Neurospora crassa OR74A: one gene and its partner. Each later gene encodes a partner of the first gene's protein in a complex. Links are inferred from orthologs where the notes say so. Each region holds a gene or a part of one and is shown on either strand. Other genes may lie near its edges. The genes, in order: NCU00360 and NCU03957.

The links.
Region 2: NCU00360 (region 1) and NCU03957 share a complex: the UniProt entries of both Saccharomyces cerevisiae proteins name them as parts of the multi-subunit COQ enzyme complex. The link is inferred for Neurospora crassa OR74A from reciprocal best matches to the Saccharomyces cerevisiae genes COQ11 and CAT5.

Annotation. Positions count from the first base shown.
Region 1 is NC_026503.1:3,570,630-3,581,523, reverse strand, and holds NCU00360 (NAD dependent epimerase/dehydratase), read right to left. Parts: upstream 5,974-10,894; 5' UTR 5,758-5,973; coding exon 5,651-5,757; intron 5,568-5,650; coding exon 4,808-5,567; 3' UTR 4,667-4,807; coding exon of another isoform or gene 3,647-4,666; 3' UTR 3,604-3,646; downstream 1-3,603. Other genes in the region: NCU00362 (hypothetical protein), read right to left, coding at 68-2,131; NCU00361 (pre-mRNA-splicing factor syf-2), read left to right, coding at 3,647-4,666; NCU00359 (YEATS family protein), read left to right, coding at 6,428-6,662, 6,741-7,435; NCU00358 (hypothetical protein), read right to left, coding at 7,716-8,449, 8,522-8,785, 8,845-9,010. UniProt on the Saccharomyces cerevisiae protein: Component of MIOREX complexes, large expressome-like assemblies of ribosomes with factors involved in all the steps of post-transcriptional gene expression. Component of a multi-subunit COQ enzyme complex required for coenzyme Q biosynthesis.
Region 2 is NC_026506.1:2,237,848-2,248,036, forward strand, and holds NCU03957 (COQ7), read left to right. Parts: upstream 1-3,691; 5' UTR 3,692-3,965; coding exon 3,966-4,736; 3' UTR 4,737-5,244; downstream 5,245-10,189. Other genes in the region: NCU03955 (phospholipase D1), read left to right, coding at 1-71, 164-170; NCU03956 (hypothetical protein), read right to left, coding at 900-1,646, 1,703-1,842, 1,904-2,610, 2,833-3,044; NCU03960 (hypothetical protein), read left to right, coding at 7,992-8,172, 8,240-8,529; NCU03961 (WD repeat protein), read right to left, coding at 8,800-10,189. UniProt on the Saccharomyces cerevisiae protein: Catalyzes the hydroxylation of 2-hexaprenyl-3-methyl-6-methoxy-1,4-benzoquinol (DMQH2) during ubiquinone biosynthesis.

The DNA of each region.
Region 1 (10,894 bases):
AATACTTCCTTCAACTGGGCGACCTTTCTCCCGACCTCAAAGAAAGCTCAATACCCTGAACGGATGCCTAATCCGCGTCCTTCTCTAGGGGTTCTTGTCCTTCTTCTTGTGCTTCTTCTTCGTCTTTTTCAAGTTGTCCAGCGCTTCCACCATCCTGCTCATCCGCTCCCGCTACTACTAGTCCTGGACACTCCAGAAAGAACAGATCAGCATAATTAGTAGGCCAAAGGTCCGCGGGTATCTCAAATCTAAGATCCATCATTGCCAAACGGCTGGCGATGGTTCTGAGAAAGACAAAGACCGTGGAGACGTAGTACTCGTCATCAACACTGTAACCGTTTCTGCTGCTGCATGCTGCTAGGATGGTATCCTGGCACTGGGAGATGAGCAAACAGCCTTCTTCTGTGTGAAGCAGGGGAGCGATGATGCGGCGGAGCTGGTGGAAGGATGAGGACTGAATTAGGGCTTCTAAGAGCGAGGATGGGGGGAAGTTGACTTCTTGGTGGGCGGGGAATTGGGCTTTTTCGATGCGGTGGAGTAGGAGGTGGGTGAGACGCTGAGGGTTTGTTGAGTATGAAACAGGTACACCTATTTCGAGGAGGTCGGACATGGTGAGGAATCCAAAACTTGGTTCGTGAGTGCCTGATTCCGATGTTGGGTGGTTTTGTAACCCCGTGGACTCGGAGACAAGGCCGAGTAATGCCACTGACAGGACATCACGTTCTGTTATCCGACGGTGATCGAATGGTAACAATGGTGACTTCCATTTTGTTTTGGATTCAGCAACAGTTTCGGCGACAGAGATCGCGCGTCTGACAAGCTCTTGCTGATCTGGGTCGAGGTGCGGCCACTGCTTGGTCTGTTCAGCTGCATCGTCTGCGTTGAACGGACGAACAAAGGGATTGTCGTGGGCGTCCAGCTCCAGCACCAGGTCGGATATTTGATAGGTTTCTAGTTCGACCGCTTTCGCAATAGCTCGCTTGTGGCCGAGATTACTTGAGAAGTTCCTCATCCTCTTCCATTCCTCTGCAGTCCTGTGGTTGGGAAACTTGGTGATGTATTCCCATTGCCCAATCGTCCAATGGTCGGGGATTCCTCTTGCCAGTTTTTCTTCCTTTTCTTCGGCAGCAATATTCTCGGGTGTCTTCTTCGTCATTTTCTTCCAATGGTCTTCCGTTAGGTCTTTACTGCTTCTCCTTTCCTTCTTCCTGCGTGCCTTGAGGTCGCCATCTGCGTCGAAGAGAATCTTCCTGAACCTGTCGAACTTGGAATCACTGCCAAGTCGAAGGCTTCTGAGGTAGATTCGCCCTGGCTGAGGCCTTCTCAGGTCGACCTTGTGGAACTTGAGGAAGTCATTGTGAATCTGGCCTACTCTCAAGCGCCTGAAATAGGCTTGGCCGAACTTGGCGGAGCTGAAGTCGATCTTCCGAACGAGTCTCTTCATCAAGCGATCTTTCACTGGAATCTTTTGAAAACGAAGAAAAGTGTTGTTTTCTTGACCGACTCTTAGGGTTCTGAAGTAACGACCGACCCTGTTAGCTCGATCTCTCATGAGGCTGGCTTGACCATAGCCCTTGATTTTCCCCGAGCTTCTTAATTGGCCGAATTTGCTGTGCTTGAAAGTCGGGTGGTTCATAACCCACGTATTCCAGAGGTTGACTCTCTCCTGTCTTCTTTCAGCTTCAGTTTCGGGATAGTTGACAACACTCTCATCATTGGTCTTTGTATGAAGTCCATCTTTGTTGATCGTGGACCTTTGTTGATCTCTGCGACCAGCCCTATTCCAGACGTAGTTTGGGTGCTTTTGCACCCAGTGCTTCCAAAAGTACCGGTTCCTAAGCTCCCGCATCTCCTTTCTGCGGACTCTTGGGCTTTCCACTTGAGGCTCATCCAGTCCAGCTTCGACTCCCTGGATGTCCCCGGATTTTTGAGAATTCGAGGTGAAAAAGGTGTCATCAACGTCAACCCAGCTCCCTGTGGTTTTCTCTTTCTTCTTCCTTTTGGGCATTATGGAGTAGGCGGCCGAAACCTGGACTGGCTGAAATGCCCGAAGGTGCCATCTTGGTGAGGATATTGTGACTAGCTGAAGCCAAGATAATGCAGGCCAGCACCACCTCCGATAAGGTATCATGCTTGTCGTCCACTTGCGCGTGAGAGTTGGCGATCCAGCCTTACCCGACAAGATACGCGACGACTGTAGGCGTTACTGGCGGCTGGGAACTGCTGTGATTGGGAGGAAACGAGGCTGGACTTTGTGTCACCAACTTGAACTGTGAAGAAACACAAGGTGAGTATTGGATGTGCGAAGCTGGCGGCATAGGGCATAGGGCAAGAGGGTGACGGAGAGAAGGAGAGCACTCGGTGAACCATCAATCAGTCAAGTAAACCCTCCTTCCCTCTTGACCGGTTGCACCCGCCCGCGGTGCCTTCCATTTTCTCCTCATCTCCTCGACCGGTCTGCCTAATATTCCTTTCATATTGGTTGCGATGCCGTGTTCTGTGTAACAGGTACAAAGGTACTTTATGGTCAAGAGTGCAAGTTCAATCTGGTCGAAGACGGCACGGAGAAGGTACGAGGCGGGCCGAGACGTTCAACTCCCCCCTCTTGGCGCTGTCTGCAAAATCTGGGGAAGGAGCGCTAGAAAGCCGCTACAGTCAAGTCTGTACATAACGATATGTGCTTACCCCTTGGATTTGATCGTTATTCCCAGATTATCGCAACCTTCAGTAGTGCCAAGCACGCCAAGACTGACTCGAACAGGTACTTGGGTACCAAAAAGCAGTGGTTAAGGTACAGCCAAAGGATGAGTTGGGAATATTTCCATATCTACCACCTAATAGGTATAACAATCACCATACAAACTGAGCCTGAATATTAATCGTAATTGCAATACGGAATACAATCAAGTCTGTACATAACGATATAAGGTATAACAATATCATGTAAATAACGATCAATTTCACTGCCACCGTTCCAGTTGTATGGTGATTTCAGCAGTATAACAATATATTCCGTATTGCGATTACAATTAATATTCAGGCTCAATTTGTATAGTGATCGTTATACCTATTAGGTGGTAGATATAGGAAATATTTCCAACTCATCCTTTGGCTATACTTTAACTATTGCTTTTTGGTACCCAAGTACCTATTCGAATCAGTCTTAGTATACTTAGTACTACTAAAGGTTGTAATGATCTAGGAACAACGATCAAATCCAAGGGGTAAGCACATATCGTTATATACAGACTTGACTGTATATCGTTATACTGCTGAAATCACTATACAACTGGAACGGTGGCAGTGAAATTGATCGTTATTTACACGATATCGTTATACCTCATATCGTTATATACAGACTTGACTGTAGTAAATGTCCTGTAATGATCGGCGCTAAACCTAAAAGACAGGCTCTCACGGCCCACTTATGCATCACTCTATCGTATACAATCGCTGTAGAAAGGCTTGCTCAGCATTCCACTTTCCGTCTTGCCAGGCACTGGCCCTAGCGTCCAGACCAGCCCAGGCACAGCACAGCAGCTTCAGAGAGGCTGTTTTCTTTCCGCTTCATTGACACAATCCGGATTTCACACCACACAACTACTTACCCACACAACACATCTCAACAAAACGAAGTCTATTGAAAATGCCTCCTGAAAAGAAAAGAAAGACCGAGCCCGAAGACAAGGCAGAAGTCACTCAACAAGAAAACGACGTCGCCGAGTCCACGACAGAGCCAAATAATCAGACCGTGACCGATTCCAAGGAGGAGCCATCGGTCACAGAAGCAGCGCTCGCAACGACGTCATCTTCATCACCACCGGTTCTATCAGCCTCGGAGACCGCACAACCTGACACCGCAGCAACATCTCAGTCCTCGTCAACTCCACCCACATCCACCTCTGCTGCAGAGTCTGCGGCCGCCAAAGCTCGCGAGCGTGCCGAGCGTTTCCGTGCCCTCCAAGCCCGCGCCAAGTCATCCTCGCAGCAAAATCTCAAAAAAGCCACCAAAGAATCCCAGCGCCTCCAGAGCGACCCTAGTCAACTCACTGCCCTCGGCCGTCGCCACGCGATTGCCTCCCACAAGCTGCTGAAAGCCGACATTGAAGATGCCGGGGGCGACTTTGAGCGCAAGCGGGCTTGGGACTGGACGGTCGAGGAATCAGAGCGGTGGGACAAGCGCATGAAAAAGAAGGAGGCGCACCGCGATGACACTGCCTTCCGCGACTACAACCAACAAGCCGAAAAGTCCTACAAGCGGCAACTGCGCAACATGGGAGGCCCCGATCTGGAGAGGTACACGCGCGAAAAGTTGGCGGCGATCGAAAAGGCTGCGGCGGCTGGCACATTGGAGATTGTTGAGACAGAGGATGGAGAGATGATTGCGATTGACAAGGACGGCACCTTCTTTAGCACGGCAGACTCGACGCAGTTCGCACAACACAAGCCCGACAAGGCGGCCGTTGATCGACTGGTGGCCGATATGCGCAAGGCCGAGGAGGCCAGCCTTAAGAAAAGGAGGGAGCGCATGGCGAACAACGGCGACGACGCGGACGTCACGTACATCAACGAGAAGAACAAGCAGTTCAACCAGAAGCTGTCGAGGTTCTATAACAAGTACACGGCAGAGATTAGGGACAGCTTTGAGAGAGGAACCATGGTTTAGGGTAACTCTGGGCTTCGTGCGAAGAGGAAACGGCGTTGAAGGATTGATTATTGGTTTTTATATGTCAAGCATCATCGTTTTATACATTGCCAAGGTTATGATTCAGGTAAAATACAGACCATTTGAGCCGATTTTTTGCTCTCAAAGCATAGTTCTCCTCCAACCCTTGTTCGCCAAAGTCTCCAGCTCGGGGACCTCAACTGCCCCTTTAACCGCTGTATCGTCCAATCCTTCCACCACCGCCTCCGCAACCAGATCTGCCTTGAGAGGCTTCGTCCCCGCACTCCCCAAGAAGTCTGATAGCACTCCTCCTGTGGCCCCGTTGAAGATACTTCCCGCCATGGTCATCGCCGCCAGCGGCATCGTCACAGGCCGCGAGCTGTCGTACATGAATGGCGGCCTGAAGAATACACTCCGCATGTCGGGAAACTCCCGCGCGATCACGTCCTCAGCCTCCCTCTTGGTTGAGATATACCTGCTCGGCAACACGGGCGCTCCTCCCGCAGCCGAGATGTATCCAAAGCCCTTAACGCCTTTGTTAGCGGCCTCCTTGGCGAGCAGGATGGCGCTATCGCGGTTCATCATCTCGTAGGTCAACTGGTTCGCGTTGGTCGGAGGACGGAGCTCGTCATCGGGACGACGCTGGAGCGGGTTTGGGGTGTGACGGGGCGAGAAGGCCTTCTGGAGGCCTGCAATAGGAGATTCCCGACCGGAGATGACGCCCTTGTAGTCGGCTTCGAGGAGGATGCCCAGAGAATGGACGACATAGTCAGCACCGTTCAGGAGGGCAATCCACTCGGCGGGGCGGAAGATGTCAGCGCGCTCCCAGGAAACGGCGGTCGACCAGGAGGGAGCGGAGGGGGAGGCGGATACGGAAGACCAGTTCGGTTGGCCGGAGCGACTGGACGTAGAAGAGGTGGTCAGTTCATCCATTTGTAAAGGGTGGAATGATAAGCTATGGAGGATAGTGTTGGAGTATGATACCTAATTGATGTCACATCCCATCCTCTGTGGACAGCCGCCTGACAGATCCTGGAGCCGAGGAAACCGTTGCCTCCGGCGACGATAAGCTTCTTTGCGGCGGACGACATGATGGAAGCTTGCTTGAGGGTGAGAGCTTGGGAAGAAGGATATTATCTCAAGAATAGGTAGCTCAAACACATTGGCTGGTCAGGTTCTTTTTATGTTTATCAGACTCTTTCTCGGCAAACTAGGTTATGCTTCCAGGTTTCCTCTCCGATTTTCTCTCCGCAGAAGTAAACAATCGAAACCCCAGACGATTGCATCATGGAGAGCCTCGATCCGTTATCCAGACTCGAAAAATCCTTATCGAACAATCATCTACAAGGGTGGCACTGATGTCTTTCGATAAATTAGCAGCGCCAAGGGTCCGCTAAACCCCGGAGGGAAAGGGAACCTTAGCAGTTGGGCTTCTCTGCCCCGCATTCAAGGCTGGAACACACCCAACTTTTTTCTCCATCCTTCATGCAGGTACCTTGCTGGTGGTGGCACTTTTGTAATCCTGTAATCATCATTTTGTTCTCTTTGCGCCATCTTCACTTCTTCAAGAATCACGCCTCCCGTACACAGTCATCTAGTCGTATTCAGGTCTGATAAACGACTTGCGTTTGCCCAGCTATATCGCTATAGCTATAGCTTTACCAGTTGGCCTACCGCGTCTGTCGAAACCACCGCGAAACAGCGCGAATCTCCACACTTCGAACAGCTTCAACCTATCCATAACCATCACCGCCAAACAAGATGGCACCACCTACAGGCAAGCGTGTCAAGGGCGTTCAAATATTTCGACCCTTCGTTTACGGAACAACAGCACGGCCCTTCGACGAAAAGACCAACCCCAAACCACCCGGCATTCCAGATGATCACACGCACTCCTGGACCGTTTTCATCAAGGGCATCGACGATGTGGACATTACGTACTGGCTTCGGCGCGTTCAGTTTAAGCTTCACGAGTCCATTCCAAACCATGTTCGAAGTACGTCCCTACCTCCGGTTCTCAAACCTCCCTCCATCCCCTTCGACCTAAGCTAATCAACCGTGTCCCTCCGTCCAGTGGTAGAAGGGGTCAAAGGCCAACCCTTCCAAATACACGAGACCGGCTGGGGTGAGTTCGAAATCACCATGAAGCTGTACTACGTCCCCGAATCCTCCGAGAAGCCTCAAACGCTCTATCACCATCTGCGCCTGCACCCATTCGGCCGCACCGAAGAAGAGAAGGAGGCTATGCGCCTCAACGGCGGCGAGGTCATTTCCTGGGTATACGAGGAACAGATCTTCAACGAACCCTACGAGCCCTTTTACGATATCCTCATCTCCGGCGCCCTCCCGCCATCGGCTTCAACACTGAAAGACGGCGGCGGCGGCGGCGGTAGTGGCGCCGCGACGCCGACCAGTGCGAACACGCCCGGGGCGAGCAGCAGCAAGGGCGGAAATAAGAAAGGGCACGAGAGGAGTCACTCGCGGGCTAGTGTGAGCACGAACAAGGACGGGAAGAACAATAACGAGTCAAAAGAGGAGCCGTTCGTGATACAAAAGTCCGAGGGAGGCGTGCTGGAGAGGAGCGCGATGATCCCTCTGGTTAATAGACCCGGGCAGCCGTTCAGTCGGGAGACGGAACAGTTGGAGATTCAGAAGCTCAAGGAGGCGAAGCTAAAGGTGGATGAGATGAAGAAGCAGATGATGGAGGAGTTGGAGAAGAAGCAGAAACGGCTGGAGGCACTGAGGGCGGAGAGCGCTAAGGCTCCCTAGAAGGAAGTCGAGGAGCGTTCAGCGCAGAAGGCAGCTCGGAGGCGGCGTTCCCGTGTGGCATCTGATCCGGATTATGTTGAGTAAAGGGAGTTGTGGCGTTCATGGGTGCTAAACAGCCAGGGTGTCACAAATTGCATTGCTAGTGTTGGGTAAGGAAAAACGGCGCTTTATCGTTCATCATTTAGGGTTGTTCAAGGCCAGCACGGCACCGAACCATCACCATTACAAGTGCCCATCCATCTCCCTTGAAAGCCCATGACAACATCAATGGCATAAACTCTCAGGCCGCCTCCCCTGCCCCAACCTCCATGAAACACCTCGTCCGGATCCTCGGCACCTCCACCCCCTCATAATACCCCCCCTCTTTCAACACCTCATCCATCCCCTTCCAATACTCCAACTTAGCCTCCCAATTCTTCTTATCCAAATCCGCCAGCTTGGCTTCCACCTTCAAGCCTGCCTTCGAGTCTTCCGATATTCTCACAAAACAGGTACAATCCCTCAACGTCATCGCCAACGCCAGCTTCTCCTGGTCACTCGTCCCCTCCGGCGCCGGGTCCAAGCTCTCTTGCGCGTCCCGCAGCTTGGGCAGCAACGAATTGCTTTGCAGCCAGTGAACAAGCGCGACGCGGTAGCGCTCGTCTACTTGGTCCATTCCTGGCCTGCCATCGTCCTCGCCATCCAGAGAAACAGCCGGTTGCACACCAACGGGATTCTCCCTCGTCGCTGGCTTGGTGTCCAATGAAGCGGAGATGGCAGAAAGGTTCATGGATGCGATGACTCGGGCTAGAGAGCAGGGCGAGGATTGAGCGGCTAGGTACTCGAGGGGGCAGAACGGTGGCTCGTGGCTAAGGGCACAGGAGGAGTTTTGGTCGGAGGAAGCGGAGCGAAGCGATTTGTGTAGGCGGTAGGCTTCGCGGGCACAGTTACGGCAGCGCGTGGCGGTAGAGGGGGCGGAGGGGGAAGGGGTGAGCCATTTGGGTTTGAATTCTAGAAGGAAGTCTAATGGGGATTCTGTGGAGGGGGGATTTAAGTTAGAGACAAAAGTACTGGAGGGAAAGCGGAGAAGGGTGAAGAGGGACGAACTCTTCCTCATATCCTCAACCAACATGCCATACTCGGCCTCGGCCACCTTGGTACCCTGGAAATCTGCCCTACGCTGGGCGTCTTCATTTTCAAGAATTGCATTGAGTTGCGAGACGACGGAATTGTTTAGACGAATGAGGTACTGCTGTACTAGGTCTTCCTGGGGGTTATCGAAGAGTGGACTGATGGATGACTCCCAGTACTGAAGGATTTCGGGGTGTGGAAAGGCTTTGGTATTGGCCTTTGGTACTCGTAAGAGTTTCCCTGTGATGATCTTAGTATTGACGTCTCATGTGGTGAATAGGGCTAAAGGTAATAGTCACCGTGTAGGATGTCCAAGATCTGACTATCGCCATCATCCTGAGTGGTGATGTCTTCCTCAGGAAAGACAACCTCAAAGACTATGTTGGCGGCGCCTTCACCGATGAACTTGAACTGGCAATTGGTGCCTTTCAAGCTGGCTAGGTCTGCTACTGGTTTTGGTGACATGATTACATTTACTATAATTCAGTTCGTCTGCAAGTTGAACAATAAGTGACTGCAGTTGGGCTTGTTGTTTTCCGTTGAAGTTGCTGATTGACATTGTGACGTAGAAAGGAGGCGCGGTTTCAGCTAAGGTAGGAATTGTTTGGGGCTAGCGGCAACGTGTAACCAAAACAAACGGGCACAGTAATTGGCAAGGGAAGTGATGCCTTTCTTGGCAATGGTGAGCCGAGTGAAGCTTGAGTTTTCCTTGCCACCGAAGATCATCAGGGCAGGAATGGAGTTCGTCTGATATTGTGGTGCTAGGCGTCAACTTTCATTAAACTTTCACTTTGACCTGTATGGTAATGAAGTCTTCTCAACAAGGTGACCCATGGTTCCAAACTGGTTTTGGGGGGGGTTCAAGGTACGGAATGGAAAGGGAAGACGTTCCAGGCATCTATTTTTGAACCACAGCATGACTGAGCATTGGACAGTCGTATCAATACAAAGCTGCTGTGATGTCCCCCTTGACCATACATACGTGTAACTGCGTATAAGCACAAGGTAGGTGTTTGGGGAACCGTCCTTTCCAGAGTACCCACCCCGGAAGAAACAGCATTCCATCGACACCAGAACATCGGGATTATCTTCATGACCCCGCCCGGTGCCCCGGTCCCCGTCTCCAAACAGATACCCCAGAAACCGAGGCTTCCCGAATGTGACGGGTCCTGCCGATGGATCCGATAACGACGGATAACGGACAAGATTCATCAGTGCCCAAAGCCAAAAAAACAAGTGTGGCTGGCTGTCCCTCACAAAGCACACGACGGGTTACCCCTCTCGGGATTTAAAGTCGAACAAACCTCCGGGCTCTCCCCGACTGGTGAGGCTTACCTTGCCTCCCCCTCCCAGGTCCGCATTCCCAGAGGCTCAAAATCCACTTGAAAGGCCCTAACAACCGTTCAGTCCGTCCCAATGATGACTGAGACATTGGTTCGATGTGCCAATGCGATATGCCTCTTTGAAGTGCATTGGATTATTTCCCCTCATTCTCCTGGGCTGTCTTGAAAGGTTTTGGTGGGAGGCTCTGCGTCGTCATTGGTGAGTGCCGCTGGGGGGTTCCAGTGCCCTTGCGTGTTCCATGTTTCCAGCTGCTTCACAACCGCAGGGCAAGAGCGCACCACTGCTCCCACTGCATTCATCCAATTCATATGGCATCAAGTAGAGGTACTGTAGGTTGTACCTTAGCTACGTTCCGCAGGGCATCCAGCATCCAGGCCGCATCAATTCTCCCCTTTCCACTTTCTTTTTGTTTCGTCAACGGCTAAACAAGCTGCGCCGATTAAACAGATCAAGCAAGACACTGCTAACGTCCGGTTGCAGCGACTGTCCCTGCGTTGGTTGGAGCGTGTTTCAATGCGTACCTCGGACTTAGTGTGCTGTCTTATAATAAGACTTCATTCTGCCTGACCGCTTCCATGTATTATGCAGTGTAGACAATACTTAATAAACAATGCTATTCCTCAACCAGTCTTAATTGAACGACAAAACGCCTTCCACGCGGTTCGATTAATGAGCAGGAGCTGGGCATATCAGGCGCTCGTTGTTCCCAAATCGCCGCTCCAGCGAATGTCAGCCCACTGAGGGACTGCCAAGTGAGCATCAGCAACAGCGTCAGAAGATCCGGTGCCACCCGCACTGCTACCCCCAAGCCACACAGCGTCCCACGTACCACCTTCCCTTGCACCCTGACGCAGTCACACTTGCCTGCTTTTGACTGCAGTGCATGAAGTGAACGAAAAGAGCGACACGCGCGAAAAATTTCAGAAAAAGGCCCGCCCACAAAATAGCGTCATGGTCATCCTGTCCACATCCTGACCCCATTGTAATCTCCAACTCCCGCCGACC
Region 2 (10,189 bases), on another chromosome or scaffold:
TGGCTGGTCACGGAGGAGAACAACGGGAATTGGTTGTTCCAGGTTGATCAAGTGGCACCGTTGCAGATTTAGTAAGTTTTCTTTTCTTTTCTTTTCTTTTCCTTCCGAAAACGACTTGTATAAGTGCAAGTTAGGATGGGTGCTAACCACAGTGTTTCTCTAGTAACTAAATATGCTTGTCTGCTGCGTTGTTCCACGGTTGTGGGCTTCACATACCTGCGTCATCCTGTTCTACCCCCTTCGCACACCTTTTCCCTACGGCCATATTTCACCCTTGCTTTGCCTATCTTCGCAAACAACATGGAATCGGAGCGGCGGAAGATAAAGACTCATCATATGTAGTAACATTTAAGTATTCATGGCAAGGCGTTGTTGGGTTGGCGGGTTACATACATATTAGCATTCGGTGGCAACCTCTTGCTTTTCTCGAGTCATTCTTCCTCGTCAGCCATTTATTACTATCATCATTATCAAAGCTTTCAGGACAAGCAAACGCCGGCAGTATGTAGAGGTATGTCCTTTAATCATAGCATGCAGAATACTTGGTACCTAGGCAGTTTATTCTTTTCGATTTTACCTTCTTTGTTATATATACCTAGTTAGTTATTTGTCTGATAGGACACGGACTTTTTCTTGGCTATACTTTTCTTATCTCTTTGAATCCACAACTGGTATATGCAAGCATGCACGCAGGTATTCTCACAGCTTTTATTCATCATTTTGCCGTACCAAATATACCTTTAGACTTAGGTTTACTTCGACGCTTCGTTCCCAGCCTGACCAGCCAATCTTTTGCTCATAACCGCCAAGCAAATGAAAGCCGAGCCAAGACGACCCAAAAAGCTTATGGAGCTATCTATTGACTTAGAGCCCCTAAGTAACTATCCCAGATCTTCCCATCAAAGCTCAATATCAATGCCCAGATCCATGGCGCCAATGATCTCATCGTCCATCAGCGGCGCCGAAATAACCGGCAAGCCGTTCTTCTTCTGTTGCAACCTGTGCTGCTCCTGCAACTTTGCAATATGCGGCAATACTCCGTTGCTGTTCTTGGACTCGCTCTTTGACGGCGTGTCCGGCGCAGGGGTTCCTGCCTTGGACGGACTCGGCGTGGCCTTCTCGGACGAGTCGTGCACGAACTTGGGCCTGGTAATGAGCCTGCGGCTCATGTCCTCCTGGACGGCCTCGCCACGCTCAATCTTCCTCTCGATTTGACGAGCCTTGGCACGCTCGCGAAGCTGAGCCTTGCGGACCTCTTCGGCATTGCGCCGGCGGTTCTCCATGTTTTTGAGCGCCAGCTTCTCCTGCTGGGTCAGCTCCTTCTTGCCGTCTTTCTTGGTGAGGGAGGTACGGAAGGCAAGGCGGGGCACCTCGAGTTTCTCGAGACGCTCCTGGTAGCGGGCGATGGCGGCCTCGTCGTTGGCCTGGCGAGCGATGTCGAGCTGCTTCTTGAGGTATTCGCGTTGGGCACCAGAGAATTTGGCCTGCAGGGCGTTCTGACGCTTGAGCTTGTCCGAGAGCTCCTGCTCGGTCCACGTACGCTGGACGAGGCGGTTGATGTCATCGATCTTGTCGACAAGGGTCTGTTTGTCTGGGAAGGGGACACCCTCGGCAAGACAGACTTGTTTGTAACGGTTGTACTCGGCCTGTTGAGGGTCTGATTAGAGATGATGACAAGCGAGGAAAGAACAGGCACGCATACCTCTGTAAACTTTCGGTCGGAACATGTGATCAAAGGCCACTCCCTGACGGCTTTACCGTGGGCAGCCTTGACATACATATCGACGACCATTTGGTGACCCTGATGATCTTCCAAGGCATATGCCTTACCGGTAGTGAAACCTGCATTCCGAGCGTTAAACGACATCTCAGCTTAACAAGGGTCTAACGGGAATGATCTTACCCTTAATGAGAGCCATACGGTAGACATCCTGGCGAGTGTCGGGATCGGGACCAATATTCAGGCGAACAAAGCATCCTGTGAGTGCTTCATCAAAGCCGGGGTAGAAAGCAACCTCGGCAAAGCGACTGCGGCCAACACGAACACGCTCAAAGTCCCGAAGCTCAGCAGGCGGGCTTTCTCTGCTCTCTGGCGAACGAGATCTGTGCTTCTTGTTGCTCGGGCCATCCCAGTCCACGTCGCTATCATCACCACGACCGGGGCTGCGTCGGTACGAAGGCGAACGCTTACGACGGTCATTTTCCCGCTCTCGCTGCTCCTTGCGGTTGGAGCGTTCCTCCCGGGCCCGCCGGAGAGAATCCATCTTGTCGTCGGCCTTGGTGCGAGCCCGTGATGTCTTGCGTGACGAATCATCGAGCTCGGCTAGGCTTGCCTTGCGCTTCTTCTCTTGGTTGACCTTCAGCTGGCGAAGCATGCGGTTCTGGCGGATACGTTCATTCTCCTCTCGACGCTCGGCCAGAATCTGTTCCCTCTCGATTTCACGCATGCCCATGATCTGCTCCTTCTCTTCGTAGTCGCGGAAGAGACCGTCGACAGGGTACTGGTTCACCTCATCGTCAACACTACGCCTCGCCGGCGAGGCATCTGAGTCTGAGTCTGATTCGTCCATGGGGGCAGAAGCTTGGGAGTCCGGGGATCCCGGCGGAGAGCTGCCGAAGAGAAGTTGTTTAGCCTTGACCATCATCTTGAGCAGCATGGTGGGCGGGGTGATTGAGAGGAATCAAGAAGGGAAGGAGGCAAGAGGAGGAGCAGAAGGGGTTGATAAAGGCGAGCTGTAGGCTGAGGTCGATGTGGCGCATGGGTGACATGTAGAACGGCAGCCCTAGGGCTACCTGAGAGCTGGGTGAAGGAAAAGAAAGACAAGCACTCACGCCTGGCCCTCGTCCTCCGACTCGTCATCGCTTCTGGCACGTTTCCTTCCCACTGACTTCTTGGCCGTTCCCCTGGTAGACGTATCCTTCTTCCTCGGTTCTGGTGACGGGGAGCGGGAATCGTCCCTGCTCATGTCCATAGCCTCATCTCCGCTGTCATCGGAGGCGTCACCGCCTGCAAGGGCGAGCAACTCGTCGTCGATGTCTGACATGGTCGCTTGTCTGTCACGGGCTGTCGGTTCTTATAAAGCTGCTTCTGTGTGGCTGTAAGCGCTAGGGCTATGCAATGGCTGCTGCGCAAAGCAGGGTTCGATGGAAAACCGTCGGGTGCAGATGGCGAACGCGATGTCGGGATACGTCGAGTGAAGGGCCGAACTGATTCTTCCAAACACTTGTTGGTGGATATGATCGGAACCAACAATGTTCTCCCAATTGTGGGTTAACAATGCGCCAAAATCAAAAAGTCGTTATGCAATCGGGTGGTGTTGAGGCGGCGACGGGAGCGATGAATGAGTGAGGCGACAAGAAAGTCCAAAGCGGGATGAGAGAAAGGTTAGTATAAGTAGAAGGGAGGTGAACTCCTATTGTCCAGCAGTTATCAATAGGAATTCAATGGGGTCTGGTCTAGGCTGATGGTAAGGTAAGTACCTACTTTATGGAACTTGGGCGGCGCGACCTGGAACTCCACCCGCTTGTGCGCGACCTGACGGACAACTTCAACGTCCAGGGGCAGTGCTTGGCGTGACGGGAGTTGGTGAGTGGTGGTGGTGGTCAAGGCGCCCAAAAGTTCCACACCGCCCAAAGGTTAGATCAGGCCCGTTGCCGGCCCGGCAAAAGCCCAATTGAATTGAGTCCCGTCGTCCTTTTGACCCTTGGCTTGACCAACGTCATCGCATGTGCAGGCAGCCCTGTGGAGCACTCAGCGATGGAGCTTCCCGTTCGAGGTCGCCGTGATTTTGTAAGTGGGCCGACTTTCGAGGTCCCGTCTTTCACTCGGCCTCGGCGCATCTCCCCCGAGCTTACTGTACTCCGTCGCAACAACCGCCTCCGGTCCGTGCAACATCAGCTTTCACCAACTCGTCCCAAGTCTTCCTCCAACACGCAAGACCGAAAAGACCGTCACAGCCCATATCATGCTTCGTCCAGCAACCAGGCCAGCCCTCGTGGCCACCAGACAGGTCCGGCAATGCGCCGCGCGCTTCTTCTCCTCCCCCGTCTCGCCTGATACCAGCTCCTCGCATGTCCACAGCCCCTCCACAACCCCCGAGACCAACCCAGCACCACCACCACCAAACTCCAGGTCGTCGACAAGTTCTTCCAAGGGTAAAAAACCCCTCACTGCCGAGCAGCGCGCCTTCCTCTCGTCCGCCCTCCGCGTAAACCAGGCCGGCGAGCTCGCCGCCACCCTCATCTACACGGGCCAGACCCCGCCTCTCGTAACCCGGGACCCCTCGCTGCGCCCGCTCATGAAGCACATGTACGACCAAGAGGCGGCGCATCTGCGCACCTTCAACGACCTGATCTACCGCCACCGCGTACGGCCCACGGCGCTGTACCCGCTTTGGTCCGTCATGGCCACGGGCTTGGGCTGGGGCACCGCCATGCTGGGCAAGGAGGCAGCCATGGCGTGCACCGAGGCGGTAGAGACGGAGATTGGCGGCCATTATAATGCCCAGATCCGTAAGCTGCTGGAGATGGTGAGCGAGTGGGAGGCTGAGGGGTATGAGGTTGGCGCAGAGTTCAGGCATCTGATCAACACGTTGAGGAGGATACGGGATGAGGAGCTGGAGCACCTGGATCATGCGGTTGAACATGATGCGCAGAAGGCGGAGCCGCACTGGTTGTTGACGGGGGTGATTAGGGCGGGGTGCAGAGGTGCCATTTGGGTTAGTGAGAGGGTGTAAGAGGGGGGTTTTCTTTGGGGTCGGTACGTGAAGGGAAAAAAGTTAATTTTGAAGGAGGATTGTGTCGATGAAGATGAGAACGAATTCATGAGGGGACAGGAGCATTAGCATTATGCTCTGCAAAGCACGGATTACAAACCTGTCCGTTTGTACTATTAGCTTATTGGGAGGGTAGGCGACGAAGCGAAAGCACCGATGTGCTGTTTCGACCAGTTCACTCAGTTCTTGAAGCACCTCGACAACAGCACTCATTCACAAATGGCCGCTTTCTCAAGGCATCACTGCTAAGAGCAGAGGTGGCTCATTTTGCTTTAGTGTGGAGTCCATATGAAAATCAGCGCGTGGCGTGGGTAGCTTAGGTCACTAGGAGAGAAGAGGGTTCACTTCGAATTGGTATCTAGGTCACTCTTGTTCTTTGCGCGTCTTTCACAAAGATAAGCATGAGTTGGCAACACTGATGGCTCGACTCATGGGCTACATCACAAGCTCAATATTGCTGAGGCTTTGGTTTCATATCCGGGTACGCTTGTGGCTGCTGCTCGAGTCGGCGGTGAGTGTCACTTTTTTTTTTTTTTTTTTTTTTTTTTTTTTTTTTTTTTTTTTTTTTTGGATGAATTCCCCACATCGACAACGTCAGTGCTTCAGTCATTCTAGGATCATCTCAAGACGCAACGTCAACATGCTGGATTAGTTGGAATGGCCTAATATTTTTGAGGAGGTACGGAGACCGCGATCGAGGAGCTGGATTCTCGTGAGCCTGATTGTCCCAAGCTGGAGGAAAGAAGAGTAAAATAGCATGCTAACCTCATTGGCAAAGCGTCGATGACTTCTGGGGAAAAGACAGCGCAACAAAAGACAACCCGCCAGGGCTGCAATCATCAAGCCATCCTCAAATCACTGAAAGGTTGAAAGAGGGATACCAAGGAGAGCGAAGATAACACCCCATCTCACGGAGGAAGCCATTCGAACAAGGCATATGAGAGTCAAGCTATCCGCATGACACCTCGTAACGAATAATGTGTGCCACACTCACCAGCATCAATCACTATTACTACTCGGGGGGCATCACATTTGATGCGGGACAGAACAGAAGCATAACATCACCTTATATACCTTCGCACTATCGAATGGCCCGTCCGTTTGTCTGGTAAGGATAGGTAGGTAGCGCAATAGAAGAGACATGAAAAAGAAAGTGAAAGTGACCATCACGGTCACAGTGACCAAGCCCACATGGTATTTATCAACCAACTTCATTTACACACACACACACACACACACACACAAAAGCACAAAGGAGACAGGATCATCATATCATGTTCACTTGTCGTTGGGAAAAAAAGAAAAAAATTGAAAAAAAAAATTGAAAAAAAAACCCCCATCCCATGTTCACCATATCACACTCACACCCCTGGACACTCCGGACGTCGTTGGATAGTGGACACTAGGTACGAGTAGTACAGCGGCAACCAAGCCGAAGCCCTTGTCCGATTGGTTAACGATGGCCGTCTGCAAGCGCCGGGAGTTGTGAGTCTTTAAGGGTTTCTGGCCAATCAGGACCTGGATTGGCTAGCGTACCTGGATTGTTTCAGGGCCGCCAGGGGGAAAGGATCACAGTGATGGGTTGGGAGTGGACGGCGCTAGTGCGGAGGCGGAATTGTTTGGGCGGACAGGGGCCATGGAGTTTTATGTGCTGGTACTATCTGGGCCTGACCTCTTTTCTGTGTTTTCTCTTCGTCAATGGACGTTGTTGTTGAATGAAATTGCCTATACACGTGAGACAGTGGAAGCAATGGCGGCGGTAAGGCGCAACGAGAACGGATACCTAAGTGAGGTCAAGTAATATCAAGACAGGCCGCTGGTCGCTGGATGATCACCTAGGTATGTAGTCGGGAAGGCGAGAAACCGTTCTTTGATGTAGTAATGGAAAGACAAAGTGCCGAATGCAACGGTCGGCGACTCGTTGATGGTGATATTTGAGTGAGACAGCATGACCATTGACCAGGTTCAACCAGGCACGCCCAGGCACAGTAAACGCAGGCGAACCTCGGCGTCACATAACGACAGACCCGGATAAATCGACTGTGTGCCCAGATATTTCGGCGGTGTGGGGCCATACAAACTGAGCACCAAGCCAAGCCAAGAAGCCAAGACCCTTGAACTTGGCAATTGGCATTAACTTTGCGCGTAGTCACCTACCCTTCCTCGCCTTCTATTAACGACAACTTAGAGCAACTAATTGGTATTGACTTTGGAGCTCCCGTTGTATTACTCTTTGGCTCTAGGAGTAGTACTTTCCAACGGGCTGTCTCCGACCTTGGCCTCGCGTTTGTCTCTATGCATCCTTAGCTTCAAATGCCTCATTTCCACCACCATCTCTTAGTCCTTCGAATTCTATCTCCCTCATCTTGAGAAGCAACTCAAGGCAAGCATCGCATTGTAAGAATGACCATAGCGAACGCTGGTGTAGTGTAGAGGTAGTTGAGCCGCTGGGATTCCATGACACCTCATTGGCTAGTTAGGTTCCACACCGCCGAAATATCTGGGCACACAGTCGATTTATCCGGGTCTATAACGACAGGTGAAGATTTCGTCCGCATTGAAAGATTGGGCATCGTCAGATCACAGTACCTTGCCTAGCGGGGAGAAGGGAGCGGGGGCATTGGGTCCTTTTAAGCATACACTAAGGTAGCTCCTCTAGGAGGCAACCACTCAAGGAAGCGGGAAGAAGAAGAGGGCCTAAGTCTACTCCATTAAGTACTGCTCACTGTCGAATCACGGTATCAACCATTAACATCGCACATATACCTCTTTTGGAAGTAGGAGTAGCCGCCGCGAGCCCACGAAGCAACACCGGCGTTTATACAAATTACATACCCACCTACCTACCAACCCCTACAACCACCTCTATTGCCTCCCAAACGCCCGCCTTTTTTTTTTTTTCCCTTTCTGGTCCTCCTCCTCTTTGATTGCGTTTCATATTTTTTATTCACTTTCCTCTTCCCACTGTCATATCATTCATCACCCGACTTTGACAGTCGCGCGTCGCATTCCTATCGGTCTCGACTTTTCATTGCTTGCCGTGCAACGCAACTGAGAATAAAGAAAAATAAAGTGGTCTCACCTCAGTTCATATCGACCTTTTCGACATCAGACCGACATCTCATAATCACGTCACTACGAGGCCGGGCCTGGTTTGGAACAAGAGACAGCAGTGGCAGTTATATAAAGGGAGGGGAACCCCCAGCAACTGCAGTCATGTCGTCAGACGCCAACTACGAGCCGGATGCGAACCCAGGAAGCGTCGGTGCTGGTCCAGACATGGGAGACAGTGGAAGTATCGCCGGTGCGGCCGGGACGTCATCAAACGACGTCGGGCTATCTCAAGGTGGTCTGATCGCCATCATTGTGGTTGTTTGTGTCGTCACCATCTTCGGTGGTAAGTCTTTCTCGCCCATCAGCAATACTGCACTGACCGGACATGATATTGACCCTCCCTCCAACAGTCGGTAGCGCAGTTCTCTTCTTCCTGGCAAAGAAAAATGAGTGGAAGGTCAGGGAGACCATTCGAAAGTCGGCAAAGAGGGTCGTCACGGCTTTGACCCCACGACGCAGCGAGTTCCCCAGATCGGTCAAGGGATCTTTCCGATCAACCAGATCCCAACATAAAGGCCGTGTAAGGATCGATGATGTGCCACCCACCCCGCGCATCAAACCCGAGCATCTGGATTTGGAAAAGGGCATGGGGAAGCCGGAGAAGTCAGGAAAGACACGCATCAACTTCAGTCGGAAGTGAGCCGGTGTGGCGCAAGAGAAAATCAGACAGCACGAGTTGAGATATAATGAACCATTTGATGACGAAAATGGCAAGCTTGGGGTATATTTTGGGTATCGCTGGTCGCGCGAGCCTATTGCTTTGCGACTCGTATTCGGAAAGAAATGTGTGCCGTGGACGGCAATGATGTTCTTGGCCGGTTCACCACGGCCTGGAGGAGTTGACATGAAAGATACCATGACTTTTTCACATGTATAGTATATAGGGTTGGACCAATAAGCTTCTGGCGTTTTACAGTCGTCTAAAGGTGTTCGTGCTTGCACTTCGCCTCCCATCATGTCTCTTCCGTGTTGGTGCAGCCTCGGGTTCAGCCTGCTTCTTCTTCTTGGACTCGGGCACGAACGTAATCTTCTGCTCTCCGACCACGTCCGTTCGGGTCTTAGTGACGCGCCCGGTCCTTGGAGCTCTTTGGCCGAATGCCGTATCCTTCGCCTTGCCGCCCGCAATCTTGGACGACGAGACCTGCATGACCACGTCATCCTTGCTCTTCTTGCTCTTCTTTTTCTTGCTTTCGACCTCGCTTTCCGGATCGCTCTCATCGTCACTGTTGCTGGTAACTGAAGAGTCGTCCTTGACATGCTGTACTGCGACATCTTGTCCGCCAACCTGGGTGCTGGGGTTGAGGGCTCTGAACTCCCTGGACGTCTCATCGACCTTGAACTCCTCATCCTCGAACAGCTTGCCGAAACGAGAATCGCCCAAGACGCCAGCGGCAATCTTCTTCTTGTCGGAACGATCAACAATCTTGTCAACCAGCTTCTGGTTGACCTTGACCTTCTTGACACCTCTGATACGGCTCTCGCGAGCCTTCTCAACCTTCTCCTTGACGCGCTTGGCCCGCTCCTCTTCCCAGACATACGGATTGGCAATGAGACGAGCCTGGTCGTACAACTTGGAATGTACAAAGTAACCGTGCATATAAGGACGCAACAGGTTGGTCTTGCCAACCAAGTGAGCCAAGCTGAGCTGCTTGAGTTCGGGTATCGTAAGGAACTTGTAGTTGTCGTATGTGTCGACACGCTTCTCGTTCTCCATTTCGTGGACCATGTTGTCGAGGAAATGGCACCACCTGGGAGCCAGGCCAAGGTTGGGAATAAAGAAACTGTGCATCTGCTTGCCCTCGTTTGCCGTCAATAGCATGCCGGAATCGGGGACATGCGCCACATGATTAATGTCAACGGTCGGCTCGATTGAGGTCCAGAGGTCGCCACTCTGTTCGTCCCAGAGCTTGATGATTCTCTTATCGGCCGTGAGAAGCTTCTTTTCCTCGGTAGGAGTCGTCAAGTGGATGATGTTCTTGATGGGAAGACCCATGCCCTGGTCCTTCCGCATAAGCGGGCGAGGGTTTCTCAGATCGAAAACTTGAACAATACCCGTGCCTGTTCCGAGCGCAAGAGAGAGACCGTCTCTGCTGTAATCCAACGCAGTGATTTCGCCCTCTTGGCCGCCCAATACAGCAACGCGGTTCCTGCTACGGGGATCGTAGAACTCGACTGTGCCGACGGTCGTTCCGAAGGCGCAAAGACCGTGTGTGGACTCGGCGACGGCCGCGACATTAACAGCTCCGACGTTGATGCTTCCCTGAAGACCAGCACCGGGCTCATCTTCACCCACATCCACC